Alligator mississippiensis: one gene and its partners. The protein of the gene in region 4 purifies or fractionates together with the protein of the main gene of each other region. This does not show direct contact. Links are inferred from orthologs where the notes say so. Each region holds a gene or a part of one and is shown on either strand. Other genes may lie near its edges.

What was found.
Region 1: the proteins of POLR3D (region 4) and protein POLR1D purify together in Homo sapiens (affinity purification with mass spectrometry; 6 studies listed by BioGRID and IntAct, counting the BioPlex papers as one, with this or other methods). This does not show direct contact. The link is inferred for Alligator mississippiensis from reciprocal best matches to the Homo sapiens genes POLR3D and POLR1D.
Region 2: the proteins of POLR3D (region 4) and POLR3GL purify together in Homo sapiens (co-immunoprecipitation; 4 studies listed by BioGRID and IntAct, counting the BioPlex papers as one, with this or other methods). This does not show direct contact. The link is inferred for Alligator mississippiensis from reciprocal best matches to the Homo sapiens genes POLR3D and POLR3GL.
Region 3: the proteins of POLR3D (region 4) and GPN3 purify together in Homo sapiens (affinity purification with mass spectrometry; 3 studies listed by BioGRID and IntAct, counting the BioPlex papers as one, with this or other methods). This does not show direct contact. The link is inferred for Alligator mississippiensis from reciprocal best matches to the Homo sapiens genes POLR3D and GPN3.

Annotation. Positions count from the first base shown.
Region 1 is NC_081824.1:428,177,668-428,185,318, forward strand, and holds the start of protein POLR1D, read right to left. Parts: upstream 3,006-7,651; 5' UTR 2,924-3,005; coding exon 2,898-2,923; intron 1-2,897.
Region 2 is NC_081838.1:17,886,265-17,893,204, forward strand, and holds the start of POLR3GL (DNA-directed RNA polymerase III subunit RPC7-like), read left to right. Parts: upstream 1-3,933; 5' UTR 3,934-4,000; intron 4,001-5,615; exon of another isoform or gene 5,616-5,960; intron 5,961-6,258; 5' UTR 6,259-6,316; coding exon 6,317-6,439; intron 6,440-6,940. UniProt on the Homo sapiens protein: DNA-dependent RNA polymerase catalyzes the transcription of DNA into RNA using the four ribonucleoside triphosphates as substrates. Specific peripheric component of RNA polymerase III which synthesizes small RNAs, such as 5S rRNA and tRNAs.
Region 3 is NC_081833.1:2,186,058-2,193,977, reverse strand, and holds the start of GPN3 (GPN-loop GTPase 3), read right to left. Parts: upstream 3,004-7,920; 5' UTR 2,922-3,003; coding exon 2,874-2,921; intron 1,798-2,873; coding exon 1,689-1,797; intron 971-1,688; coding exon 803-970; intron 692-802; coding exon 567-691; intron 1-566. Other genes in the region: DENR (density-regulated protein), read left to right, coding at 6,154-6,259, 7,555-7,574. UniProt on the Homo sapiens protein: Small GTPase required for proper localization of RNA polymerase II (RNAPII). May act at an RNAP assembly step prior to nuclear import.
Region 4 is NC_081830.1:21,616,514-21,623,496, reverse strand, and holds the start of POLR3D (DNA-directed RNA polymerase III subunit RPC4), read right to left. Parts: upstream 3,004-6,983; 5' UTR 2,926-3,003; intron 2,304-2,925; 5' UTR 2,291-2,303; coding exon 2,126-2,290; intron 544-2,125; coding exon 500-543; intron 251-499; coding exon 99-250; intron 1-98. UniProt on the Homo sapiens protein: DNA-dependent RNA polymerase catalyzes the transcription of DNA into RNA using the four ribonucleoside triphosphates as substrates.

The DNA of each region.
Region 1 (7,651 bases), on a different chromosome or scaffold from region 4:
CATTGCCCCGGACCATGCTGTAATTGTTTTATGACGGTTAACAGGAATATCATTAGACTGTCATCTCAGATATGATTCTATCATATTCTGCATAGCTGTAGTGTTGATAACTTGCTGTAAACTATGTAGTCTTTCTTCCCAGGCAATCTCACAATAAAGTGTGTAATGCCAACAAGATTCACCAAGGAGGTAAGCGCATGCAGGCTGCTTCCAAACCAAAAAGTAAGAGACCTATTATGACTGGATAGTCAAATAAACATACATTTATATTCAGTGCACTCTCTTGGAAGTGCCATAATTCAATATGTAAAGCAGAATGAATATCTCATCCCAACCAAATGCAGAATAGCAGTCACTTTATTCTCTGATAAAATGACTGCAGTCAATTTTGCCACAACACTATGACAGGGTGACATTAACTATCTATTAGCGCATCCATCAATAAAAAGTCAGGGTATTAGGCTTTTTTTTTTTTATTTGAACTAAAAAACCCGAAGCTTATTTTCAATCTGCATTATGATCAATTAGATTTCCAAAGCTTGGCTAGAACAGCTATCAGTATGCATCACTAGTATTTTACAGTGAACAGAGAAGACATCCTTTCCCCGTTTTTCTTCATTCTGTATGGAGGTTTGATTTTTATTTATTCATTGTACAGGAGTACATTTCCTCAACGGACTAAAAATCTCTCTCTGCGCTGTATTCTTAATGCACACATGTTTCTTCATAGACCCCTCAAGAATAATATTGCCAAGACTAGTCTCCTGTGCATACCTCTCTCACCTTTGATGGTTGTGTTATTTTTGCTAGATCACAGAGAGGTACTTGTACTTAGACATGTTACTGTTAAGTCAGGTAGATGGCAGAGTAGAGCTAATTACACCAGAGATGCATAAGCTTTCATAAGCTTGAGCATACTTCATTAGGTGCTGTGAAAGGACATGCACACAGCAGTCTATGTAAAAATAGTGAGAGTGATTTGAATACAAAAGGCAGGGTAGATTTGCACCTTATAGACTAGAACAGTTAGTCTATGAAGTGCAAATCTACCTTGTCTTCTGCCTGACTTCAAACTAACACGGCTAATTACCTCACTATTCACAGGATACAAGACAGAGAATGGATAGAGTAAAGTGGGGGTAGATAATAGCTAGGGACCTACTGAATTTGTGGCAGTTGTTATCTGATTTTGCAGTTTGAGTACAGGGCCAGGCGCCATTTCTGCAGTGCCACCCTCCACCCCGTATTCCTCTGATTGGCCAAGGGGCCCTGGAAGTCCTCTTGCTCCTGAAAATTGATAGATGGCAATCTGTTAGTCTCCAGGACTGCCAAGACTTCCAGGGCCCCCTCAGTCAATCAGAGGCATGTAGGGGGCAGCAGCCCACCACACTCCACTGCAAAAATTTCCCCCTGCCCCCCCACCCTGCTTCAGGATGCCAGGGCTTCCCGCCCTTTTCTGGTTTTGCAACCGCCCTCCCCCCCACCCCGCCCAACTTGCTGCTGATTTTGTACCTTTTCTCAGTCCCTGTGCTTTTTCACGGGGACCAACTGAATTTGCGGTTTTCTTGAAAATCCCGAATTCAATAGGTGCCTAATCATAGCCAAGCCAGGGAATCAGGATCAGGTAGGTGGAGTGAAACAGCCCTCCAGGTAACACAGGTCACTTCTACAGTCAAGTTCAGAATTCAGCAATATCTTTTTCTCATTAAAAACCTGAATGCCCTCTCCAATACACTGCTCTCCAGAATGCAGCAGGATAGATAACAAGCGGGCTGCCTACAGCGAACTCACTTTTAGGGTCAGGACACCTGAAGCAGCAGCTCTCAACCTTTTTAGACGCAAAGAATCTCTCAGAAAATGCCAACGCTTATGTTCGCATTCTTTGACTACAAAAAATAACAGAGCCATTTTTCTACTGCAAAGACCATGATGACAGGGCAGAACATTTCCTTTCATTGTGGACAGCTGGATAAAAACATCAGCTTGGTGCCATCAAGAAGGCAGACAAAATGCGAGGGATTATTAAGAAGGGAATTGTAAACAAAACAGAAAGTGTCCTTATGCCGCTTTATAAATCCGTGGTGCATCTACACCTTGAATGCAGTGCCCAGTTCTGGTTTTCACACCTCAAAACGGAGGCAGAAGAACTAGAGATGGCCCAGAGAAGAGCAATAAGGATGGTTAGCGTATGGAGGGGCTCTCCCAAGGGGGGAGACTACAGAGCCTAGGCCTATTCAATTTAGAAAAGAGCTGGTTGCAGCAGGGGGCACGAGAAGGATTTACAGACCAGTAAATGGTGAACAGACAGTACCAGGGACAGATCATCGACTCTCCCGAGACAGGAACTAGACAGTCACAGAATGAAGCTAGCAGGTTGCGAGTTCAAAACCAATTAAACCAAGTTTCTTTTCACACAGCAAGTCATGCAAGTGGGAACCTGCTGCCCTCACACGCGGGGGAAGCCGACAGTTCAGCCACATTCACAAAGGGCCTGGACAAATTGTGGGAGGAAAGCAAAGGGCACCAGGACCAGGGAGCGCGGGGCCCGGCCCGGAGGCTGCAAGGGCGACAGGAGCAACCTCGGGCAGACGCGGCCCGCGAGCCTGTGCCGGCCAGGCCGCTCCGCACTCCCCTGAGGGAACCTCCACCTCCCCTCGTGCCCTCCACGCCCAGCCGCGCCCGCGCGCAGCAGGCCTCGCTGGTCTGCGGAAGACACAAACAGACAGGAGAAGGCCTCACTCGCCCGGCGGCACAGGCCGCGGAGCCGCCGGCCCCGAGCTGCGGCAGGCCCCCGCGTCCGCGGCGGGCCACACGGGGAAGGGGAAGGGGAAGAGGACGGGGCCCCGCGCCAGCAGGAGCAAGGCCCGCGCCCGCCCGCCCCCAACGCCGCCTCTCACCGCTCCAGCTCCGGGTCCTCGTCCATGGCGGCCCTTCCCCCCGCGGACGGTTGCAGCACCGCGAGGCCGGCCGGGGAAGGGGCGGGGTGCCGCCGGGCCACGCCCCCTTCCGCGGGCGGGGCGACGCTGCCACGTGCGCCGATGGGGGCGGGGCCCGGCTGTCCCCGCCCCCCGGTGCCGCCCCCGGCCCGTCGGCTCCTGCCCGGGGTTCGCTGGTGGCCGGGGCTCGGCGGCGGCGGCTCCTCCCCCCCACGCCCTGGGGCCGGGGCCGGGGCCGGGGCGGCCGCGCAGTGCGGGACAGCTGCCCCCGGGCCCGGGGCGGACGAGCCATCCGTGGCGGTGAGTAACTTCCCGGCTCGGCTTAGGGCGTCTTCTCCCGCCCGGCCCCCAGCAAGGGCATCGCCCTGGCCCGCGCGGGGAGGCCGGAGCTGCCGGAGGACCGCGGGCGCTGCAACAAGTGTGGGGCGGGCAGGAGCATGGGGCGGGCTCGGGCGCAGCCAAGTTTGCTCTGGAGACCGCGGTGCGGGCAGGGGCAGGCGGCTGCCGCCGGCGGGGGGAGGGCGAGTCCCCTCTAGGCACCTCCGCATGTGCTCCCCGAGCCGGAACCCTTCCCACGCTGGGCTCCGGTCAGGGGGAGAAGCCCTGAATAAACAGGACTGCCTCCCTGTTGTTTGCCAGTCTGACATTTAATATTGTGCCGGGAATAAAAAAAAAAAAAAAAAGTCCCCCCCCTTTATTTTGCATCCCTGACCATTGCTCCAGGCGCAGTCAGCATCATGGTTGCAGAGGTGTGAGGAGAAAAAAGGGTTCATCCTTTTTTTCCTAGCCTATTGCCATTCCTCCTTTCCAGCACAGAAATGAGGTTTCTTCATGGTGGTTCTGGTCCTGCACTTGCTCAGAGGGAGGGGAGTGGGTATTTGCTGGCTGCAGCTGCAGGCTGGAAGAGCTACAGCTATTCTTTTCCCAAACCTGAGCTGTCATTATATGCTGAAGGCTGCACTGAAACCTAAATTGCATATGCAACAAAACTGATATTTGTGTTTCGGCTTGTGTACGAGGGATTGACTGCGGATGTATTTATTCAGCCTGTTACTGAAATACGTGTATGCCGCTCGGATGTAATTTTATGAAAGAGTTCTAAGGGCTGAGGAGGAGTTGAATTACTGTGTGTGTGGGAGGAAGAAAGAACAGCTGCAAGCAAGCCCCTGTTATAGGAGTTGGGTTCAGGTTATGTGTTTCACAACCCTACCATAGCAAATCATAGCTAAATGTACACCTCGAAGCATCTATAATAGACAGTTATTTCAGAAGAGTAAATTTCACTCTCTCTTCTCTAACAAAGGCCCTATTTTTTATTCATTAGTTTCTATCTGTGAAAAATCTGTAATAAGGGATACTTCAGAGTCATTCTTGCTCTTGATGAAAAGTTAGTAATCAGCAGTGTAGCGAACTGGTAATTTTGGATGTGCCCATGGCAAATATGACAGTCCTCTGTGACTTTTTTTACTGTGTTGCTAATGTATATACCATTGGATTGTTTACTTCAGTAGAAATCCACTATTAAGCAGTTCTGAGCCTTGTTTAATTCCTTTTTTAATTACATTACAATGTGGGTTTATTTTTGTCTTTCTACAAAGTAAAAATGTCTGTTACGGATTAACCCCAGGATATGGTTGATGATAGTGTCTGAAAATAAATGTGTGTGTTTGGCCTTCTGTTAAAAAGGGAAATTATTCTGAGCTAGACTCTTCATCTCATTAAATAAGTTGATTGATTGATGCTTATGCCTCTTCCCACTTCTTTTTGGCTTGCTGATGTTTTACCCTAAGCATGTAATCTGACAGCAGATAAGGAGGCTTAGGAAGAAACATCAGATGGTTTGAGTTAGCATCCCTACCCACTTTCAAAATAAAGATGCTGGTGCCATATGTTGCTGTGCTTTGTTAAAACAAATTTCCTCAAAATGGAGCCAAGGTGTATACATCTCCTTTCAGGAACATTAGTGTGGCTTAATAAAGCACTACTACCATAACTTTTCTGAGGAGTAGTAGTGGGAGTCCTGTCTCCCTCTACTTGGTGCTGTATTAGCTGATGAAGTATTTCAGGAAAAGAAGGATTGGAATAGGCTTACAAGCAATTATGGAGGAAGTCAGCTGGTTAGCACAGAACTGTTAGATAAGAAAACATTGCATGGTGAACTGGAATGATTTATAAAAATAACCTATTTGCCTTTTTAAAATTACTACAGCCCACTGATATAATTAGTAATTACAAATAAATTATTTAAAATCAATGCATCTAGTAATACCTTCCTAACTTGCTGAACAGTTCATCCTTTTTTAGGCTTTAGTTGCATCAACTCAAGCAGGCCAAACCTTGACCCTTGAATTCAGCCCCAGCTAGAGAAGTCAATAGAATACTTTCACATGTCCTGTCAATAATTTACAAGCCTAATGTCCATTTAAAATGAATCAATGTGTTTTTCAGTGAAACGGTAACAATTTTGCAAGAGGATTAGGCACCACATACTGGTGTTTGTTGCGGAAAGATGCATTATGTTATTTAAATATGAACATCTTAATTTTCATTTTTCAAAAACACGGACTCTGATACTGCTGACTGTTCTCACAGGTGCAGGGGTCTGCTCAGAGAAGTCCGGTTGATGTCAGTGAAGGTTTACCTGCCCAGAGCAGCCTGTGCCAAGACCCTGATGCACATACTTGTATATTTATATCATGAACTTATTTGCTAACCCCACCCCATCCCCAAGTTGATTAGCTTCTGGTGTAAGCATCATTGTCTAACTGAAATATAATATGCTTCAGAAAGCAAGCAAAGTAGGTCAGGTCCCTAAGTCCCCTGCTAATTTTTATGGCTTCATTTTCTCACACTTTTAAGAAATGTCTTCCATTGTTTGAACCTGACAGTGCAGAAGGGAGAGCAGTATTGATAATCTCCCTCCTAAACTAGAAGTGGAACATATGGAGATTGTCTGTTTAGTCACTGGATAAAGCTAAATTAATTTCAGGAATCTGTAAAATGTAGCTCTTGTTAGGAGTTATTAGATGTTAACATCTGTAACTAAAAGGAAAGCAGCACTCACTTAAAGCAATGCTCCCATACTTGGTGTAGAAGATGAGAGGAAGCAAAAATTCCAGCCTTGTAACCAGTGAATTGCCTTTGATATTTGAAAGCTTCATAATGATTGTAAAGCAATTTGTTAATATGATATCATTGAATTATATGCTGCTTAATTGCTTTATTAGGCCAATAGAGCTTGTTGTTTAGAAAGTCTACTACCTTTTTTAAGATGCAATCTGTTTAAATGCCACTATGTAATTGTTGGGTCATGCTTTCTACAGTGCGATAGAGAACTATAAAGTTGTAATGCAGGATTTTTATGGCTTTAACTATAAATATTTATATATGCACTTAAATTTAACTGCATTTTTTGTTGCAGTCGGTGGGACTATTTTTGCATTTCATTTTAAGTTTGTGCATACATATTTGCAGATCAGGATTTATATCTGTAAAGTTTGAGATTAAACACTTGCGTGTTTTGGTATTAAACATTTCATGTTTTTTATGAAGTGTGCGTTCTCTGGTAGGGATATGATATGGATATATAACTTCTGGTTTGGAATCGCATTGGTTAATGTGAATGCCAGTGCCTAGATCAGTGCTTCCCAGACTCTTCCTCAGCATGACCCCACTCATGGCCCCATTTCCTCAACATGGCCTTTCACTCTCAACCCACAGCCCCCCACCCTCATGACCCCATCTGATGATGTTGCAACCCCATTTGGGGTTGTGATCCGCAGTTTGGGAACTGCTGGCCTAGACGCTTTTCCAACTTGCAGCTATGCTCTGGGTGGTATTAGCTTAATTCAGGCAACATTCTGGCATATGAGCTGACATGGTACTTTCAGGACTTTTCTCAATAATATGAATGTCCTGCTCTTTACTTCAAGTGTTTTTGATATGATCTAGCTTACGTTAGAAATAGTTACAATGCTTTATTTTTACATATATTTTAATTAATACCATTATTTCCCCAGATAATGGTGGTTGGTGTTAATCCACGTTTTCCTTACAGGAGTTTTGGTGAAAAAAAGATGTGCGGTTGTTTCTTTCAAGGAAGTAGCATATTGATCTGGGGTGCTCAGTTTGCTCCATCCAGCTAATTACACAGTAGAAGAACTAGGCATTTTTAAAAGTTTTTATGGTAATCTATATTTCTATATGTCAAACACACATAGTAAGGTTCTAAATTTTCATATAACTTGTACATTAGATAGTAAAAAATGATATCTGTATGGGTATAATTATGCAGGCTGGTGAGGAGAAGCGTATAGCATGTGAGGCTTCAGATGTAAGCTATACTTTGCATTTCTGTAACTTCAGTTCACAGAACTTCATGTTTCTGTAAAAACACTTTAATGACATCTTGTACTACCACTCTTAAGTAGTTGTTTCTCTCTCTCTTTTTTTGGTCAATATTTTAAGAAAGTGAGACCAAAACAAGTTGCAATTCTGTTCTCTACCTATTGTAGTCTGGTTAGGGGAGCCTGAATTTTCTTATTGTGACGTTGAAGGTAAGATGGTAAAATAAAATATATTTGAAGCAAGAATCTAGAACCGATTCTTGTACACAGTGATTTGCTCTACGTTTCATAAAACGTAAACTTATTACTTCTTTACTGTACCTGAAAAGACTGATTATGTATTGGTCTCCAGTGTCAATTGGATCTGTT
Region 2 (6,940 bases), on a different chromosome or scaffold from region 4:
ACCTCAATGATTTCCTCCAGCCCTTTCCAAAGCATTGAGTGCATGAAGGGAACAGGTGAGATACAGCCAAGGGTTGGCAGGGTCAGGAGATTTTCAGGCAGATGTGCTGATGGGCATGTGCCTCTGCATCCAGCGGAGCCTGTGACAGGCAGCCTGCACACTTCTTCACACCTGCCTTGCACTGTTGCTATGGTTACCCTGCCTAATTATATTCCCTCCTGCTCTTTGCCCCAAGTTCTCAGCCAACCAGGTGGCAGCGGGGGGAAAAATCCATTTCCTTCCTAATTTGTGAGCCTTTGATTTTAGCCCAACTCTGTGACAGCAGGATTTAAAACAGAGTTACTGTCACTGCGGCATTATCAGTAGTGCTAGGTGCTGTACAGCCCCTGCTTTGTAGTGGGACAGTGATATTGGCTTGGGGTGTGATTTTTTTTTACTGATGCCGCAGTCCTACCCACTAATGTAGATGCGGCTACACTGATATAAAAGTGCTTATTGCACTATGTAGGTGCAATGGCTGAGGAGTGGGTGTCCAGCTGGTGTAAGTGTAGGGGATGCACGAAAGGGCTGCATACCCCTGAATGCAGGAATGTACATGCCCATAGGCACATCCACCTGGGAGGACTTGGCTGGCACTCTTGGACCCCAAAAAGTCTATCAGCGCCAGGCGCACTGTCTTCTCACCGCTGTGTGTGCTGAGCTGGTCTGGCCCACCCCAACCACTGACTGGGACCATGAGTTTAATAAAGCAGCACAAGGGTCTGCAGGACCTAGCTGGGCAATCCCAATCTCCCAGGTTTCAACTCCTGCAGCTCTGAGCCCTCCTGCAGTGGAGATGCTCCAAGGGGCCCCAGTGCTTTTGAAAGTGCATGGGACCAAACCCCTTTGGAAATCCCAGATGACATCTCAAGCAGGGGAGAGAACTGGTCCTTGAGGTGAACCATGAAGCAGGGGAAGCTAGTTGGGGTGGGGGAAAGGGCCACCTATCCCTTCCCTGATCTTTCTTTCTTTCTCTCTTTCTTTCCCATCATCTTTCCCTTCCTTCATCCTCCTCCCTTGGTTGCCTAGGCAACTTCACAGCTGGGCACAGTATCCCAGGGCGACGGTCCTGCTGCTGAGCAAGGATAGATCCCAGCGCCCTGGAAACGGGAGGTGGGAGCGAGGTGCCTCTCTCTCCCTCTTTGCATCCCTGCACAACCCAGATGCAGGTGGTTATTTTGGGGTCGAGTTGGCTTATCCTCTGCACCCCCCCACCCCCAGCTCCTGCATTGCTATTTTTGGGCAGCACCAGGGAATGAGATGAATCACTCCAGTGCACACAGCCGAGGAGCTGCTTGAAAGCATCACGGTGGGGGGGTAGGGGGGAGGCTGGCATTGGGAGGAACCGTGGTGGTGCCTCATTCTGCTCAGAGGGGCTGGGGGCTCTGCCGCCCTAGATAAGGAAGACGTTTCAAGGGACAGAAACCCCCTACCCTGGACCTGATCTGGTGCTTATACCAATACCCACCACCATGGTATCTGTGGTGCTTATACCAATACCCACCAATTTGTGGTGCTTATACCAATACCCACCACCATGGTATCTGGGCACTTTATTGTGATCTCGAATGTATTCACCTTCACCCTCTCTGCACACCAGGGCAGTGCCATCATTCCCCCTATCCCTTTTTGCACAGCAGGGTTAAATGAGGTGTCGAGGCCACGTATTGGCCCTTGGTGTCAGAGCTGGAACTTGATCCCAGTTTTCCTGACCATGAAGCCAGCTTTTCTTTCCCTATTTCCCTACAGCTCCTTCCATTCACTTGGATTGGAAGGACTAGCTTAAATGTAGACAAAACTCTGGGGTTGGAGGTGATATCTTTCATTAGGCCAACTAAATAGTTGCAAAAAAATGTTTTTGCAACTATTTAGTTGGTGTAATAAAAGATATCACCTCTACCCCAAGAGTTTTGTCTGCTTATGTCCTTAGACCAACACGGCTACTCCTGCTACAGCTTAAACATAGTAACTGACCTCTCAGGGCAAGGGTCAAGCAGGAGGTGGTGTTGAGAAAACATCATTAGGACAGAACATCCCCTAACAGCCAGATCCAGGACTTCAGTGCCTTGGGCTGGCAGGCGAAGCAACTAGCTTTGGTGCTTGGAGGAAGCAATAGGAGAAAAGCCTGGCGGAGGAGGGCCTGTAACTACATCTGCACAGCTCCCCTTTGCTTCGGCACTGACCCCAAACACAGCCAATATGTAAAGCGACCTCCTGATGGCTTTGATCTCAGTGCAAAGCTTTGCCACAGACTTCAGCAGAGTCAGGACTTCACCCACAGGCATTTCAAGGGCCGGAGCTCCATGTCACCCCATGACCCTGGTAGGGTCTTGGTGGAAAGGATCAAGGCCGAGTGTACCAGTGTTCCTCTCCTGGTGCTCTCTCCTTGGTGAGCCTATGCCCCCCTCAGCTGCCTGGTGATGGGAAGTTGCAGCGGAGGGAACAGAAGAGGCAGGGGGGAGCTTGGTTATCTGCAGGCAGGAGATAGTTTAGCCTCCCTTTGATTCCCCAGGTAAAAATAGCTGCAGCCTTCCTGGGCTCATCTCCTGCGGTTACCCATTAACCCTTTGCTGGAGCTGGCAGTACACTAACAGGCCGAGGCCTCCTGCTAACTGGACAAGTATATTTGGGGGTGCTGTGCTGGCCAGCAGTGCTCCACACCCCCTGTTCTACCAGCCCTGGGGTCCCTGCATGCACACCTTCATCAATGGCCTTCAATCCTAGCCCCAAGGCCTTTGCAGGCAGGCGGAAGCAAGACAGCAGGGAGCTCAGCAATCAGAGGAAGAGGGGGGAGTGAAATTTCAGCAAAGAACAGGGCATATGGATGTGCCTTCCTGAAACCATCCCTCTCTCTGCTATTTATATCTGTGCAACTGTGAGCAGATCTGGCTCCCAAGATGCGCGTGTGTGAGCGTGCACAGAGGAAGAGGTTCATCCTTATCACTGCTCAATATTAGCAAGAACAGAATAGCCTCCTGCATCAGACCGGAGGCCCCTCCAGCCCAGTTTCCCGTCTCCAAAAGCAGCAAGTAATTAATGCTTTAAAGAATCTGGGAATTAGCATGTGGGTAGCGATACACCTTCAGCCTGACCTTCCCAGCCACCGCTGGTAGGACATGGGTATGTATATCCCCAGCTGCTGGGTGTAATAGCCCCTGATGGACCCGGCATCCATGCATTTGTCCAATTCAGTGGTCCTCATTCTTTTTCAGACTCGAGGCACACCTCAGAAAATGTCAGCTCCGAGTCTTCACTTTATTTTTGACGACAGAAAAATCCTGGAGCAATTCTTCTGTTGCAAAGACCTCAGCAGCTCCGAATGCTCTTTGGTTTCCTCTTGCGAATCGCGCGCACGCACCTAATCGCACTAACGTGGTGCGGCACTCTGCAGCCCCTCCGGGCAGGATCTCCAGGCACCCCACGGCACTGCAGCACCCTGGCTGAGAATCACCAATCCCATCTCACGCGGGATTTGTCCGTCTCGCCCCTACCCTGCAGCCACGAGGGAGCAGTAGGGGTCCATCAGGGTGCAATAGGTGATTCAGGGGGAGTTCCCTTTCCTTGCGGCTGCCCTGGCCTAGACTCAAGAGCAGCTGGTTTCTTCCACTCCACAGCTGGCTTTGCATCCACCTCCCCCCGCAGACCTACATACATCCTTCCCCACAAGCCAGCAGGGGCACATATACAAATACCGCCCCCCATCAAAATCAGCAGGGACTGTGACACGCCCCCAAACCAGCAGCGAGGAAGAGCCCTTCCCCCCTCCCCCCCAACGGGTTCCGCATTTATAGCCCTTTCCCGCGCCGCCGCCCCGCCCTCTCCTGTTACGTCACCCGAATGGCCACGGCGCGCACCAATGAGCGCCCGCCGGCCCGCCCCGGCCCCGCCCCTTGGAACGCGCTGTATCCCGGGCTCGCGGCGGCCACGTGCGGAGCGGGCGGGGCCGGGTCGGGCTGGGCAGGTAACGCGCGGTTCGGTTGGGCCCGGTCCGGCTCGGCGGCCCAATGGCAGCGTCGCACCCCCGCGGCCGGGGCCGGGGCCGGTGCTGGGGCTGGGGCCTGCTCTGTGCAGCCCGCGCTGGGCCCTCCGCGCCCGGGGGCTGCCTCGCTGCTGCCGCCCCGCGGGGGCACTGCGGGTGCGCACCCGGCACGGAGCCTGCCCGGCCTGCGCTGGGATGCCAGCTCTGCCCCAGGGGGCCCTTCTCCGGTTACACACTCACGTTCTCCAGTCGGGACCCAGGAGGGGGGCAGTGGCATAGAGGCCCAGGGAAGGGGGCGCTCTGCATCAGATGGGCAAGTCCTGGGCTTCTGGGCTTTGCTGGTTGCCCCCCTGCCCCTTTCTGCTACACGGGTCAAGGTGATGATGAGGCTCCCCCAGAGGCTGGGGATGGGGACTGGGCTGTGCCAGTGCTCCTAGGCACCAGGCCTGGAGGGGCCTGGCTAGAGGCTTTTGCCCCATTGCTTAGGATCAGACTGATGCTGCCTTGGTGTCAGGAAGGGATTTTACCCACTGGTCAGATTGGAAAAAACGGGGGGGGGGGGGAGAGTTACCTTCCTCCGTAGTGGGGGGTATGGCCTTCTACCTGGGATCCCTGGAGCATATATTGCTGGCAGCTCACAGAAACAGGATGTCAGCGGCCATGGTTCCCTTCTTCCCCCGTGGCAGTTTTGGGTGTGCTGTCTTGTGTCGGGGTGGACAGTAGCCTTACATAACATTTAGATTTCATAGATTTCATAGACATTAGGGCTGGAAGGGACCTCGGAAGATCATCGAGTCCAGCCCCCCGCCCAAAGGGCAGGAAGTCAGCTGTGGTCATAGGATCCCAGCAAGATAAGCATCCAGTTTGCTCTTGAAGGTGTTCAATGAAGGCGCTTGAACGACCTCCGGCGGCAGGCTGTTCCAGACCTTGGGGGCTTGGACAGTAAAGAAATTCTTACTTATGTCCAGCCTGAAACGGTCTTATAGTAGTTTATGACCATTCGACCTAGTCGTCATTCCTTGGGGCGCTCTGGTGAACAAACATTGCCCCAGATACTGGTGGTCACCCCTGATAAACTTGTAGGTGGCCATCAGATCACCCCTGAGCCTGCGCTTTTCCAAGCTAAAGAGTCCTAGGGCTCTCAGCCTGTCATCGTAGGGTCTGCTTCCCTGACCTCTGATCATGTGCGTGGCTCTTCTCTGGACTCTCTCAAGCTTCTCCACATCCTTTTTGAATTGTGGAGCCCAAAACTGGACACAGTACTCCAGCTGCGGCCTCACTAAGGCCGAGTACAAAGGGAGAATGACGTTCTGGGATTTGCTTGAGAAGCATCTATGGACGCAAGCCAGCGTTTTGGTCGCTTTGCTATCTGCAGCATCGCACTGCAGGCTCATGTTCATCTTGTGGTCAATGATGACCCCCAAGTCTCTTTCTTGCATAGTGCTAGCCAACATAGCACTGCCGAGCCTATAAGGATGCTGCGGGTTTTTCTTCCCAAGGTGGAGAACCTTGCATTTATCGGCGTTGAACACCATCAGATTCTCATCCGCCCACTTGCTGAGCCTGTCCAGGTCAGCCTGGATCACCCGCCTGTCTTCTGGTGTGGATGCTTTGCCCCAAAGTTTGGTGTCATCGGCGAACTTGGCCAGTCCGCTTCTGACTCCAGTGTCCACATCATTAATGAAGATGTTGAACAGTATGGGTCCAAGGACAGAGCCTTGGGGGACCCCACTGGTCACAGGACACCACGATGAGTGAATGGATGTGTCTGGGTTGGTTAGGACAGGGTGATCCTGCCCCACTAGGTGCCAGCCCCCCTGCCCTGGGATTATATGACAACCTCCCTGGAGAGAAGTGAAGCATGGGTTGGAGACATCTCACCCTTCCCAGCCTGCCTCATGTGAACAAAGCAGCTCTTGCAGGCCTGGGAGTAGAGGAGCAGGTAGGACCTCCTGGGAAGGGAATTTTCAGCATAGCAGGAGGAGAGTGAGGTGGCATGGAGGAAGCAAGGCTAAAAGGGGGCTTGAAATAGGCTGGTTTGATTCCCTGTGTTTGCATCTTACAGCCTTAAAGGGGAGGATGAGAGATTCCTTGGGGCAATTTATGGCCAACTGTGCACACTAACTGCACGTTACGCCTGGGGTCTCATCTCTTGCCCTGGGGTGTGGGTTTCATGTGGGCAATGGGCCCTAGGAGGGTTCCCATGGGTTGTAAGGGGCTCTCTGTCTCTGCCCTTTCAGGCCTCGGCTGCGTTGGATCCCAGCTCTCTTATGTCTGCTTTGTCTCTGCCAGCGCATCATGGCAGGACGGGGCGGCAGAGGGAGGGGGCGGGGCCAGATGACCTTCAACGTCGAAGCTGTGGGCATCGGGAAGGGAGAATCGCTGCCTCCCTCGACCCTCCAGCCATCACCGCTCTTCCCGGTGAGGTCCCCTTCTGTGCGGGGAGGAACAGCAGGTGGGAGCTGAGGCTGTGGGAACCCTCCAGCCCCTTGTTTTCCCTGCTGAATATGCCAGCGCCATGTTTTGGCTGTGGTGTGTCTTCAGGGGGTAGGACAGACCCAGCAAACTCAGTCCAAGCCCCCAGGATGAAGCAACATTAGAAGTCAGAACATAAACAATACTCACTCTCCTGCAACAGGAGGACACCATCTTCTATGGATATATTTTCCCCCCCTGGAGTATGCCATTTTCCATGGATACTATCACTTATCGGAGAAGCTTAGGGCATTGTAGCCGAAGCACCTGGCTACCCCTTTCACAACTCATGAAATTGCAGGCAGCCTTCTAAGCAGTCTAGGGTAAGACTCGAACTCAGGCCTTCAGAGTAATAGCAAGCTGTTTTAGCCACTCTGCCACTGCATCCCACCATACAGACCTGTGCTTGCTCGCAAATACATGCACACAGCTCTATGGATGTACATA
Region 3 (7,920 bases), on a different chromosome or scaffold from region 4:
CATAATTGCTTTCCTTTCTAATCTTTTCCTACATACCCAGGCCGACATACATACATGCAGGAAACTTTAGTGGACAGGCAATAAACTATCATATGGAACACAGCAGGGGAAACAGCATCCAGGCACAGAGCCCAGTAAGATGAGTGTCTTTACTGGGAGAGGGAGGCATCTCCCAGGACCATCCACATGAATCAGCCTCTAATGGGAGCCTAATACATCTGAAGTTCTCCATACAAAACTCTCTCTCTCTGGACTTTTTGAGCACTAATTTTCTTCAGGTTACAGAAGGGAAGTGACTGACTTAAGGCCACATGGCAAGTCAGTTTGAGATGGGGGACTAGCACCCCCCCCGAAAAACAGTTCCCAGACACCCACTCTAACTCCGAGGCCACACACAATATTCCAGGCACAGGACATTAACAAAGCAGAAACACGCAGTTTTTCTCTGACTGAAGAGATTTCAGATTGCTTTGCAACATGGCAAGTCATTCCCTCAGATTTCATGGTCTTTTATTATTATAGTAGGGCTTTTTTCCCAATGTTTACTATAGATTTGAAGCCAATACCTTAAACGATTCCACCATAAATTGGGAATCAACAAGAAAAACTCCACAGACACGGAATTCCCACTGCTGCAGCTGCTCCACCAGCTGTTTCATCACTGGCAAGTGAGTATAGAGCTCAATCTGACCTAGGACACACAGTCATTAAAATGCAGGAATGTAACTCTAATGTAGAGGCACAGCAAGGACAAAAATACATGTCACGAATTATGTATCACATAAGCAAAATGTTAGCTTACCTGGGCAGTCAAAGAGTATATAGTCATCCTCTACGTGTCCAAGGGATTCCTCCAGCCAGTCAAAGTTATTGGCAAAATATTCCATGCAAAACACTAACCCTCCATTTGGACCAAACCTTAGAGAGTCGTCTTCCATAACATCATCCACTTCGATCAGCTCTCGGATATCTGGAACAAGAGCTATGCATCAAGGCTTTCTGTATGCTTACTACACTAAATGCATAAATTCCAAGGTAAGTTACTACAACACACGCAATTCTTAAAATGAACTCCAGATCTCATTGTTTTTAAAAACCTGAGTTAAAAGTAGTTTGGGACACTATAACTACCCCCTCCTCCCCCAGTCACCCTACATATGTTTCTGATTTTAAAACACCGCTTTTTTTTCCCCAAATGCTTTCCCCTGTGCTAGCACATGGAAAACCCCACCAGGAGCTCACTGACTACACCAGGAAAACATAGAAAACCAATTATTTCCAAGAAGCTCATTAACTGCTGCGCAGGCTCATCAGGAAAGCTAGTCTTGCAAATGATGCCTCTGTATCCTTAAGTAGGTACATGCACACCCCCCCTGAGAAAGTACACTTAAATTAAAACCGATTTAGAATCTGGAAGGCGATATCAAACTAGAATAGGCATTCACCCTCCCTTTCAGCATCCACCCTCCACTGCGTGACACACGTACTGGGCAGGATGGACCTACGGTCTGACCCAGTAAATGGTAATTCTTATGTTCTTATATAAAGCAAATTCAGGGCACTGAATGGGACTTATGCCTCATTAAAAGGTGCAAGAACTCAGTTCTAGTGAAGAAGGAATCAGTGAGTCTTGATTGTTTTTGGTGCTGCTGAGAACAGAGGAAAGACATGTGTGCCGCACAGCTCACCTGCCATGACGGGATAGTTGAAGTATTCTGCTGCAGGATCGAGATTAACCACTTGGACGGAGCGGTTCAAGGCTTCGCAGTGCTGGACCATGGTCGAACAGTATGTGCTCTGCGGGGGAAAGTCATGAACCGCTGTGGCACCCAAGACAGGAGGCAAGAGCATGATGGCGAAGCACAGGACAGCGATGACCATGCCCAGGCCCCACGTCTAGTGTCCTGGCAGCAACCAGTGACCAGTGCTTGCTTCCCCTCCATGCCCTGCTCCTGCTGCTGGGCAGTGGGGCCGGTGCTGCCCCTGCACTGCCCTCCGGGCTCTGCAGAAGGAAGGAGCTCGCCAGCCTGACTCAAGGGGTTCTCTGGACGAGAGCCGACTCCTTGCTCTGCTCTGCTCACCGCTGGCGCGGCCCCCCGCGTGGCAGCGCAGGCCTGCCAGAGGCCCTCACCCCTTCCTCACTGCCCCATTCCCCACCCCAGACACCCCACGCTTCCTCCCCCAGGCACCCCAGTCCCAACCCCGTCACCCCCAGGCACCCCACACCCCCATTGCCCGCAGACACCCCAACCCCCCACGCCTCCCTTCACCCCAAATACCCCAATCCCAACCCTGTCACCCCCAGGCACCCCACACCCCCATTGCCCGCAGACACCCCAACCCCCCACGCCTCCCTTCACCCCAAATACCCCAATCCAAACCCTGTCACCCCCCAGGCACCCCACACCCCCATTGCCCACTGACACCCCAACCCCCCACGCCTCCCTTCACCCCAAATACCCCAATCCCAACCCTGTCACCCCCAGGCACCCCACACCCCCATTGCCCCCAGACACCCCAACCCCCGCCTCCCTTCACCCCAAATACCCTAATCCCAACCCCGTCACCCCCAGGCACCCCACATCCCCATTGCCCCCAGACACCCCACACCCCCACGCCTCAAGTACCCCAATCCCATCACCCCCACTGCCCCCAGCCCCCCCACGCCTCCCCTCACCCCAAGTACCCCAATCCCAACCCCCCCAGGCACCCCCCTGCTCCTCCATGCACCCCAACCCCATCCCCCCATTGCCCCCAGACACCCCAACCACAGTCCTGCCATCCTCAGACACCCCGACCCCCCTCACCTCAAATACCCCACCCCCACCCCCATCACACCCAAACGCCCCCCCCGCGGGGCCGGCCCCACCTACCTTCCCGCTGCCCGCCGGGCCCATGACCAGCTGGGCATAGCGGGGCATGGCTGCGGGCTCCCCGCTCCCGCGGGCTCGCGAGGCGAGACGAACAGCACAAGTATGACCCCGCCGCTCTGCCGTAGCAGGCAGGACCCGGGCGACGGGGCGCCGCGAGGCTCAGAACGGCCGGCGCACGGAGCGCGCTTCCGAGTGTCAGCGGTCCGCGCCTGCGCAGACGCGAGGAGCACGTGCGCCCTGGTCCTCGCGCCTCCGGGGGAGCAGGAGCGGGGCTGGTGTGTTTAGAGCGCAGAAAGATGGAGCCGCCTGTTGCACTACTGGGTTTTGTTCCTGCAAAACTGATGGCTACATTTGCACGCTCTCTCTCGCCAGAAAACATTTGTAGGAACTGAACTGAAGTATTACATTGAGAAGTTTCCCCACGAGCACGCACTTCGGGAATTGGGCCCGGGAAAGCTTTGTTCGAATACGAACCGCCTGAAAACAGGAACAGCTCCAAAAGTTGCCCCACGTGAATTAAATCAGGGGAGTCCAGTGTAATCTCAGTGATGAAAAACAGTGCGTCCCAACCAGTGTTTAGCCAGGGGGATTTAATGGGCTGTTTGGGAATGATGGGCACCGCCTGCTAAGCCTGGTTTTGAAGACTGACAGTAGGACGTAGCATTACAGGTGGTGCGTCACAGGGCCTCACCGGCTTTCTTCGGTTACAGGCACCGTGCCAGGCTTCCTATGATATTTTGGGCAAGTCACATAGCCTAAAATTGAAAAAAGCATCTACTGGCGTTGGGTGCCCAGTGCAGGACGCTTGATTTTCAGAGGAACTGAGCACCCACAGCTGTGAGCGAAATCAATGGGAACTGCTGGTGCTCAGCATCTCTTCAAAGTCAGACCCAAGTGTCCTGGGCTGGATACCTACAGTTAGTGGACACTGCGTCTCAATTATTTCTCAGTTTAATGATCTGAACATGCAGCTAGCAACAGTTATCCATGTTCTACGGTGCTTTGAGATCACTGGATGCGAGACCATATATACCTGCAAAAGATACTTATTATTTACTGTAAGGTATAGGGCAGCCTCTCATGAAATCAAACCTTTACACCTTTCCAAAAGTAAAAACTATTTTGTGTATGCTACTTATCATACTGGGAGAAGCGTAAGATACGGATCTCTGGAGTCTTCTCACGCGTCGTCTCCGTTTCAGCATCCAGACCTCACAACAGGGCGCAAGCGCTATTTGTGCAGCATTGCAAAAATCTGCCACGTTGGTTATACAAGAGCATTAATGAAAAGACGTTGCTTGACTATGGGACGTCATCAAGCACAGGGAAGGGTACAGGTAGGTGTGATACTCACAAAGAGACACACTCTTCCAGGTGTAACTCAACTGAAGTCAGCGGAGTTACACAGCGAACTCTGCGTCCCCTGTTCTCTGGGAAGTTACTCCGTGTAATACTGATTTCTTGCGTGCATTGAAGGTCACCTGTCTTCTCAAGAAACGGCTCAAACAACAGCAATCATCGAGGCAACGTTAATGATAACGAACAGCAAAATATCCATTTAACAGTTAAATCAGCACCTTCTACACATCGAGCTGTACAGATGCCTAAAACCAAAGCTCCAAAATGGACTGTTCACGCACAAAAGGAAGAAACAAAGGACTTTTTATCTCAGAGAAAAATATTTGCTGAAGTTACCGGGCACAAAGAGTGACGGCTTGTATATGGCATATACACAATACACATTAAAAGATGTTAAACCACTTAATTTGACAGAGCAGCTTAAATTTTGCTGAAGTATTGTCTGGTAAAAGGTGGTCATAGTTTATGTGTAGGGTCTGATAATGACCTTGAAAGGAACAAGGGGAGAAATGTTAAATTTCTCTAGGATTCAGTAAAATGTGGGGCCAAACCTTGAAATCTTTACCTAGGTCTTAGGCAAAATTCCCATCAAAGCGATCGGCGCTTTTTTTGGAATGAAAACTGTTAGCACCTCAGGGTCTGAGTCACTGGACCCAATTCTTGGTACACTTTCACAGGTGGAAATCAGGATGTCTTCCACTGAACTCACCGGAGTTGCACTAACGTACAAGTAAAGCGTGCGACGGGAGGGTTGCACTCGATCAGAGGTAGAAGGGAAGCTCTTTTGCTGTTGTGCATTAAAGCCTTTTCCCCCACTGCTCTCACTGGCTCAAATCACCCTTTTCGGAGGCGAACCGAGCGACAGGCGGTCTGCGTCATACGACGAACGCGAGAGCATCCAGCGTCGCGTCCCACCTCGTGGTGAAAACCACGCGGCTAACGGAGCTGATCAAAATTTGAATCCAGAGTTTTTTTCCTGTACAAATGTCTTCTCACCTAAACGATAAATGTAAAGAAAAACCCTCCCTTTTCATCTGTCTCATGGAGACTTGAAACATTTCACAGAAAAATGTAACGTTTAATTTTCTAATGACTTTTTTTTTTACGGGGAGAAAAAAACCCTCAGTCATTTCCCAGCTGCCTCTGGCAGTGTCGCTGTTCAGGAACGACGCGTGTGCAAGCACGAAGGACTGCTGAAACCCGTGGGCAGGCGCTTTGTGGACCTGGGCAGACGAGGCTCTTCGGGGCAATCCGATCTCTTTCATTAGACCGACTCAGATAATTGGAAAACTTCTTCTTTGCAAGTTTTCGGGTACCAGTTGAGCCAAAGACACTTGTCTGCCTTTGTCCTCAGGCCCACACGCTTGCAGAGCTGGACCTCACTTGATGGACATGCCCCGGGTCTCAGCAGTGGCATGGAATTCCCTGCCTCAGTTTCCATCTGTAAAATGGGCACAGCCAGAGTTTGCTTGTGGGGCATTTCTCAGGGAGGAGCTGCACGTGGACAGGCTACAGGCAGCACGAGGGGCCCTGAGGGTCACCCCGCCCGCACTCACTGCAAGCTGTGCCCGGGCCTTCTTGAGGTCTCCCCTCCAGGGGAGGACCCTCCGCGACCCTGCTTAGCTTCATTTAGCCTTTCTTTTACGGCGGCCGCGTAGGCTCAAAACAAACCTAACCCAAGCGCCCTCAGCGCCTCCCCGAGCAAGCCTCTCGCTGACGTCACCCGGCCCCCTCCGAGCTCTCGCGAGAGGCCGCTGCTCTCGCGGGACGTCGCATGTGGTGCGGCGGGGTCCAGGCAGCCGCTTCGTCCGGTCTCACTGCGGCCTGAGGGGCCGCGCGGGTGAGCAGCCTCTGCGCGCCGGGCTCCGGCCTGGGACCCGCCGCCCCGCTCCCTGCCTGACCCGCTCTCGCTCCCGGGCCCATGGCGGCGGACGTGGCGGAGTGCGCGATGCCCGACGGCCGCGGGGACCCGCGGAGCAGCGCCCGGGCGGACGCCGACTGCCCCCTGCGCGTCCTTTACTGCGGAGGCAAGTCCGGGGGGGAGGCAGCTCGGCCGCACCCCACCACGTGGGCTGCTGCCCCTGGGGCCGGGGCCGTGGGTGGGCGTCAGGGCCAGAGAGGAAACGGGGCTGGGAGTGAGGTCATAGTTCCATACGTCGTGACGGTGGGAGTGAGGTCATAGTTCCATACGTCGTGACGGTGGGAGCGTGGTCATAACCAGCGCCTCCTGTGGCAGACAAGGGGGCCAGGCCCCCCGTGGGACAAGGCCCAGGCGAGGTGGTCAGTCCAGAGTTACATCGCCGCGACTCTGCGCCTGAAGGGGAGTCCCGTGCTCACACTTCTGGGTTACTTGCTCTGGCTAGGCCCGTGACACGCCAGGTTTCAAGGTGGATACCGTGCGTATAAAGCTAAGTCCAGACGAGCGAGGTTGGAGCTGCTGAATTCGTTCGGAGGAGACCCCCCGAAGTGAGGTTGCCAAGACTCGGATCCCGACTTAGTCTTACGCAGACGTCGAAGTTGTAGCAGTCTTGGGTGCCGCCTGCGCGTGAGGAAACCGACACAGCGAGGCTCGTTCCTGAAAACCTTATTAGCGTGCAATTAAGGAGGGCAACACCTGCCCGGGTCTCGCCGTCCCTTCTTGCAGCGCGCCGCTCTCCGTGTTGCAGTGCGCATCGGTTTCTCTGAAGGCTGAACTTAGGACCGTCAGATTGAGCAAATGCATTTTCATTAGAGCAAAATAGGGAAAGAGTTGCAGAGCACAGATTGTATCATCGCTGTCACTGGTTTTTTGCTCCTCTTACCCTGTGCTGCTACTACTGGGCTCCATCGACAAGGAAAGGTAACCGCTTGAATGCAAAAGACAGTGAAAATTGATGCTGGTTTGGTGAACACCTTGCAACACGAGTCTCATTCTCGTCAGGACGTGACTTAGTAGATGGTAATTCAGATAACTTCAGAGGGGCGTGAACTTGGGTAACTTGCCTTTTCCGAGGTACGGTCAGTACCGCAGGCCTGTGCTCTGCTTCGTTAGCAGCCCAGTGTGGGTAACGTGAGAAGGGAGAGGTAGGTAGTTGTGTTCAGTCCGACGCAAGTCGGAAGACGGGGTAGGTAGCACAGCACCTGGTGACGTGAACTTGAGTTCGCAAAAGCTTATGCTCTGCCTATATATCTTAGCTCGTAAAGGTCCTTCTCTGCCCTGCCTTCGAGCGTAAGAAGTCATGGTAATGGCGCGAGAAGCTGTCCAAACTAGAAGGATGAGGGGGTTGTTCTTAATACGCAGCAAGGACATTTCAATTTAACAATCTCTCTCTTCCTTCCCCAGTCTGCTCGTTGCCAACGGAGGTGAGTTCATTCAGTGTTGTTTGAGTTTGTTTTCCCCTCGGTGTCCCGACAGCGCTGCTTTGCCTACCGTACTTCCTCTTGATTTCCATGCCACAGCTGGTATCTGGTTGAAGACCATACAGATTTAGTTGCTGCTTTAGGTTTAATCGGTTAGCAGAGAGGCAGCTAAGCTGGCTGGCAAATGGACCTCTTGGTCTCTAAGAAACTCTCTGGCTTCCTGTGAGGTAGCACAAAGCCCCATCCCAAACGGGTTGGAGAAGCCCCGTGTTGCTAGTTTCTGTTTCCCATCCCCACATGCAGTCCGGTGAGAGAAAATGCTACCTGTGCATCATGCCGTGAGCCTGCT
Region 4 (6,983 bases):
CAAAGAGGACAAACAGAGCAGAGGGGAGACAGAGTGAGAACAGCATCTGTGACCATCCCTGCAGCTACAGCGGCCCATGCTTCTCTTTCTCCTCATACCTTTCTTCTTCATCATTTCCGCTGGGCCTTGCTCAAAGATGGAATGGGACTGAATGACCTCCGGCCTGCCTCTGCCCCGCCCATGGCCATCACGCTGCCGATCCCGGTCTCTCTCTTTCTTCTCTTTTTTGATGGAGACATCCTCCTTTGGCCTGAACAAAGAGTTTACAGCTTGTCTGATGGAACCCCCACATAATTCTAATACATTTGTAATTAGCCAGCCTCCCAATTTGCATTACATGAATTCCAAAGTACTTTAAAAGTTATCTGTGTTGTTAAGATGCAGCCACCCCTGGGGTGGAACGTGGTATCTGATGAACAGTGGACAGCAGCCAGTCCACGTTCAGTTCTTAAGACTAAGACATTCCACCCCACAGAGAAAGCATAAGATGGCCACTTACTCTTCTTTGATCTTCCTGCTAATTATGTTGGGGGTGAAAGTTTTCTGTAAACAAAAACAACAGAGCAAGTCATCAATTAAGGAAGTGCCAGGTCCAAGTCAAAGTCACCAAATATGCAGCTGTGGGCTGGCCTGAACCAATGGACCACACACACTGCAGCTGAAATCTGGAAGCAATGTCAGATCCTGCCCAGTGCCCACAAAACCTGCAAGCATTCTGGCTCTGGGCTCCTGATTGAAATTTTGCCCTGTGAAGGCAGCTTGCATAAGCCCCTTGCTTTATCCTGGCCCAGCACGTTTTTTTCCCCGCACTGGCCATGCAGTTTACCACATACACAATAATCTTGCATTGCAGGTCTCCAAATGTCTTATCAGGATCAGACTCTCCTGGGGAAAAACTGGCTCTACGTGCAGGCATGGCTCGGGGGGAGGAAGTGTCTTATGCAGCCAGGCTGGTTGCACATCAGACCCTGACTCGTGTACAGGCCCCAGCCTAAAAGCCTCTAGGGAAGATACAAGGCCCAGTTACACAACTCGCTCCCACAGGCATCAGTCCTTTGAAAAAGAGACCACAGAGAACACTGCAGGGAGTTCCAGGCTGCCCCTTCCTTCAGGACAATTCTCTTTACGTACGTCCTACTTTCAAATTGCTCTTCCAACACAAACTAGTTAAACCTGCTGCAAAAGACAGTGACCAAGGTGTTTGCCTCACCTTTTAGAGGCAGAAATGAAACTGAAACCTAAGGGATTTGGTTAAAACTGCAAAAGGAGACAATGTCAGGGTCGAGAAAAGAACCAAAGAGCTCTGGTCTGCAGAGCCCCCCAACCCAACACTATGCAGCCTAGGCACAGCCACACCCATTGCAACCCTGTCCTATCTAGTATGGGACACTTCCTTGGCTTTCTCAAGTGCATCAGAGAAAGATGCAAGCCAATCTAGATGGATAAGTATCCAAAAGCAGGCCTGCGAGCGAGGTTCCTTGCTATCCCCAGGAGTTAACCTTTTATTTACATCACTATGAGATACAGGCAGACAGTTTCCTGCTGCATCTGTAGTGCTTTTAATTTCAGAAGCGGGCAGCCTACCATGTACTTCGAGTGGTGTAACTTCCATTGGTCTGTGCACCCAGGGAAGTTACACTGGTGTCCGCAGCAGACAGCACACACGGGCACCTCCAAGGTGACCCCAATAAAGGCTGTGGATGCACGATCCATCCTCTGCTGTATAATTATTCCCACCTTTCCCAGCAGTAGCTCCTCTGCTACACATTTACGGCCACCACCCAAAGCAAGCATGTAACGTGTCCAAACCCTTATGCTCAAATGAGCCAAGAGCAACTAGCATCCCCTATTTAACAAGCGTCCCTGCCACTGGGACAGCATTGTATACATCTGCTTCAACTGCAAACCCTCTGGTGCAGGGTTCACGTCTTCTTTCATGGCCAGATGGTATCGAGCAAGCCACCTGCATGATGCACCACAGTCTGCCCACTGGAAGCCCATGGGCCAGCGCTGCGGGCACAAAATCAGGCCCCGTGGCGGTCTGATCCATGCTCTCCCGTGTGCCATTTGCGTGGTTAAGGAAAGCCAGGAGGGCAGTTTTCTGCCCAGAACAAGGGACACTTGCCTTCTTCACTCCTCCAAGAGTGAGGTCTCGGGAGCGGATGGAGGGGAGTCTCCCGGGGGTAATAGGGGTGGCAGTTCTCCTCCCGATCAGCCCGCGGGGCCCAGAGAGGCCCGGGCGGAGATTGCTCGCGTTTCCAGCATCGCTGCCTGACCCTGCTTCCGACATCCTCCCAGAGGACCTGGGGAGAGACGCATGGCTGGAGCCCCAGCAGCCCAGAGACCTGCCCTGCGGCCCATGGCGCGAGCACAGGGGGGGAAGCTCGCTGCACCCCACAGATGGCAGGCCGAGGGCAACGGCTGGGAGGACGAGCAGCAAGATGCTGTGCACCAGGGGCAAGCAGGACCCGGAGAACCAGACACGAGCGAGGGCTGCGCTGGAGCCCCAATGAGGCCAGAGGGGGACTCGGGCTAGGAGCCCTGCCCCGGAGCTGCCGTAGGGGCCCAGATCTCTGCCCCGGAGGGGACCATCCCCAGCAAAGCCCCACACTATAGGGGGCCCTGGATATAGGAGCCCTGGCTAGGCAGGGCCAAGCTATAGGCCCCCCTGGATATAGGAGCCCAGGTTATAGGGGACCCCGGGCTATAGTGGGACTCGTGGATACAGCAACCTAGGCTATAGGGGACCAGGTTATAGGGCCCCCAGGCTATAATGGGACTCTTGGATTTAGGAACCCAGGCTATACAGGCCCCTGGACATAGAAGCCCAGACTATACAGGCCCCATGGTGGGGGTCGTGGATACAACCGGCCAGGCTATAGGGGTGCCCCCACGCATGGCGCTCGCCGTCCCCTCCCCCATTACCTCGCCCGGCAGCAGCAAAAGGAAGCCCGTGGCCCAGGATTCCTCTTTGAACTCCCCCGCGCATGCGTAGAAGCGCAAGCGCCATCCTAGCGAAGGGCAAAACCCGGAAGGACGCCCGCCCCGCCATGTTTGGGAAGGGCGTTCTCGAGCAAGGGCGCCGCCATGTTTGTCAGGGGCCGGTGGCGGCGACGGGGGCCGCCATCTTTGCGAAGGGCACAGGCGGCTGTAGGGCCAGGGAGCTGGCAGAACAGCAGGGGCTTGCTGGGGGCAGCAAGCACCCAGGGGGCCTGGCCTTCAGCCTCCTGGGTTCACCAGTAGCCAGGGGCTGGCTTGCAAAGCCTTCCACTGCACCTGTCCTCCTTTGCCCTGCAGGCCCCTGGCCTCGGGCCCTCACGCCTGGCTCGGGGCTGTCCCTCTTATCCGGAGGGTCTAGTTCTGCTCCCGTCCCCTCGTCGCTCTCCTGCGTAGGAGACGATCCTGTTTTTGTATCACAAGCCATGTCACACATAAATATTGCATCAGCTCGTGATACTTTCACGTCCCCCTGCTCCTTCCTGCCGCTGGCGGAGGCTAATTTCAGGAGACTCTCAGCCTTCATTTAAAAGAAAAAGGAAAAGTATGCTCCTCGTTCCCTTGAGAGCACATGAAAAGCTGAGAAACCAGAAGGCAAGAAGCGGGGGAGGGAAGGAAAGATAAAAAATCCCTTGTTTTTCTTCCATCTCACGCCGTGCAGGCCAATCTCAAGTGCTTGGGAGGCAGCTCGTGACGTGCGAGTGCTTGGGGTTGGCAAAATGTGCAGCTGCAATTCTGCACACGCATCTCACAGCGGCTCCAATTTTGCACAAGCACTCAATACATAGTGCTTAGATGCCCAATTACCCGATACCCGGATGCAGCCACAGCGAGATGTCAAAGTGTGCCATCTCCAACTACTTACCTCATAAAACCGGGCCTGCCATTGCTTCCTGGAAAAAATAAATAAATCAGAGACTGCTTTGAACATCATGCCTGAGACCTATTAAAAACAAAACTTTCCCTGGCTGGTGCCAGTGGCTGCTGCTTGCTAGGAAACAGCCTCAGGTGCAACTTCACCTCCGCAGGTGTTAAGTGAAAATGGAAAAATCAAGTGTTGTTGGGTTTTAATTTAACACCTCTTCAGGAGGGAGTATATCCCAGCAATGAATGGCAACTGGCCAGGCCCAAGGGAAAAAAAAAACAGCCCCTGTTAGACTCAGTTGTTGCCATCACATTCATTTTCACATGTAACGGTAAAGGTGTTTTTTGAGACCAGCTCCTCTGAAACAAGAGGCTCTGCTCTTCCAGCCACTGCTCAGCAAAGCTGCCGGCAAAAAGCAACGTGCTGAAGATGCTGCTTTCTCTTGGCATCTCTTGCTTTGGTGTCTGTCCCCTCCCTCCAACAACAGGGCCTGAATAATCCTCACTTCTTGAGGTGCCTGGTGCACCCACAGACAGGAGCAATCAGCCGGGTCTGATCTGCTCAAAATCGTGGGCTGTAAGTTTAGCACGCACCTCCTCATCTCTGGCAAAAGACATGTATTGAGCTCTGCCACCACTTCCTTTGTTCCATTTTGTTCTTGCCGGTGGCCTCGAGGCCCATCAGGAGTGGCATTCGAACAGGGATCCCTATTGTCTCCAGTGCTCAGGCTTTTGTTAGATTAGAAATAGGTGCGTGGGCCCAGGGCTGATTTCACCTCTCCGTGCGTAAATGGGGAGTAGCTTCTTCTAAACCCCCAGCCATCTCCCACAGCTCCACGGTTACAGCACTTGGCTCATCCTTTTCAAAACTGTTTCCCTGGTAAAACACACGCGTAGCTGGGCTTGGTTCAATGTTGCGGGGCTGATTTATAGCAGCTGAGAAGTCGCCCACTTGTGCCTCAGCAGGCAGACAGCTACATGTTTTGCGCTCTTCCCCTTTACAAAGAAGGGTCCTGGGAGGTTCCCCTACCCTCAAGCTGCTCTGGTGTTGCCCTTTTTAAGGGGCTTTTAACTACGTGAGGGGCTGGGCAGAGAGAAGATGGTGCAGGTTTCCTCATGCAGTCAACAAGCTGCCCATGCAGATGGCCCATGGGGAAGGTGCCCCACTTTTCACGTGACCCGCATCATGCGTCTGATCCCCAGCAAAGAGACTGGGCATTTATCCACAGCTAGGCTGGCTGCAGGCAGCCTCTGGCAGAAGACTGCTGGGTGGTTCAAGCTCATGCCTGAAGGGTCTTGGAGACATCTGAGCTTCTCTGCTGCTGAGCTAACCATGTCCTCTGTGCAGACCATCCGGTCTTGCTCTCAGGTTATGGGGTTTTTTTTTAATAATATATTTTGTGTTCCAGGTCAAATCAGACAAATCGCTTCCAAATCACATCAATTGAGCAGGATTCAGTTGTCCCCAAAACCATATTGATTGAGCAAGCAGGGCTCGATTGTTCTAAACACAGCCGTATGGCGCTGCTACTGGCAAGCATCCTCCGTCCCAGGCTCTCACCCTGGGACTTCCGATGCCTGCCAATGGATTTGGGAGTAACTTACGTGCAGGCCCAAGCCTGGAGGTCTTGGGATTTGGATGCCTTAAAGAAACTACTTGATCTTAGCCCGCAAGAGGTTACACTGGTTTAAAGCAGGGGCAACTCCAATGCCAGTGGGGCTATTCGGTGCATCTGAGAGCAGGCTTTGTGTCTGATTCCCTCCTTGCCCCTCCAGTGACAGCCTGGCAGGACACACAAGGCTCTTCTACTTTCCCTGAAGGTCACTGACTTGGGTTGAGTCAGATCAGGGGAAGGCTGATGATCCAGATTGTGGGGTGTGCCTCCTGGACAAGGCCTGCTGGGCACTGTCCACTCAAGCTGATCTTAGCTGCCTGGGATGAGCTGAGAGGCAAGAACCAAGGCCCTTGAGGCCAGGCTGATATGCAGCAATAAGCAGAGGTTCCCAGCTGGGAAGTCTGGACCACCAAGAGAGGGCTCAGGGAGGTGGTAAGGTCTTAATAATGTTATCACAACACAGAGGACAGAACATCTTAAAGAATTTTTTTGCAAAGATCGAGTTTGTCTAATAAAAGATATCACCTCTGCCATGAGTTCTGATTCCTTTTGCCTCTAGACCAATACAGTTACAACCTGGATACCTGAAAATCTTACCCTGCACTCAGCCCACACCCTTCCTCTTCAAGCATGAGTGGTTTACAGCAACCCCAAAGAGCCATGTCAGGCTTGCATAATTAGTATGGGTGTGCACTTTACTTTTAAGGTAAATGGAAAGGGGGTGGGGGTGGGTGCACGTGCAAAGTGTTGGCTTTGAATATGAGACCATTGACCTGAAAAGGCTGAGAAACTGCATTAACCAGAATCCCCTCCACAGCCAGAAAGAGGACCCAGAAGTCCGGACTTTTTGTCCCTTCCTCTCCACACGCTGCCTCCTCTGCCGTTCTCTGCCCTGGAGCTGGGAGTGGACCCCAAAACCCCTGATTTGTAGTCCCCAGCTCTAACCACTGGATCTTGCACCCACCACAAAGCCAGGCAGACAGCCACATTCCCTGGCCTGCCTAGCAGACCACAGTCCCCAACCCAGCCACGCTGCAGAGGTGCCTGCTGCAAATACAATCTCCTTGCAAGTGTGGGGAAAGTTGAAGGGTCCCAGCTTGGCAGTCCTGTCACCAGGGGCTGGCCTGGCTGCAGACGTGAGGGGCTCCCAGGGGTGCCCTCGTCTTTACACTGGGTACATTAGGCCAATATCCAACTCCTGCTCATTCTGGGGAGCCGTCCCATTCTCCCAAGGGTCCCTGGGCATCACTTGGCCCTGCTGTCTCCATCCTATGTACATTTGTCACCCCTCTGCAACCAGCCCCCGAGCCCTGCTCCCCTCCCCACGCCAGCTCCTGCTGTTGGTGCGACACCCCCGCCCTGGGAAAAGCCTCTCTGATTTCTCCTTGCTGTCCCTGCAGCTCATGGAAGCCAGGCTGGGAATGTGGCTGCTCATCACCTGATGCTTTGCAGCCTGACCGCCGATTGGCGGAGAAGGCCTGGATTTTTTTTTCCTCCTCCATGCTG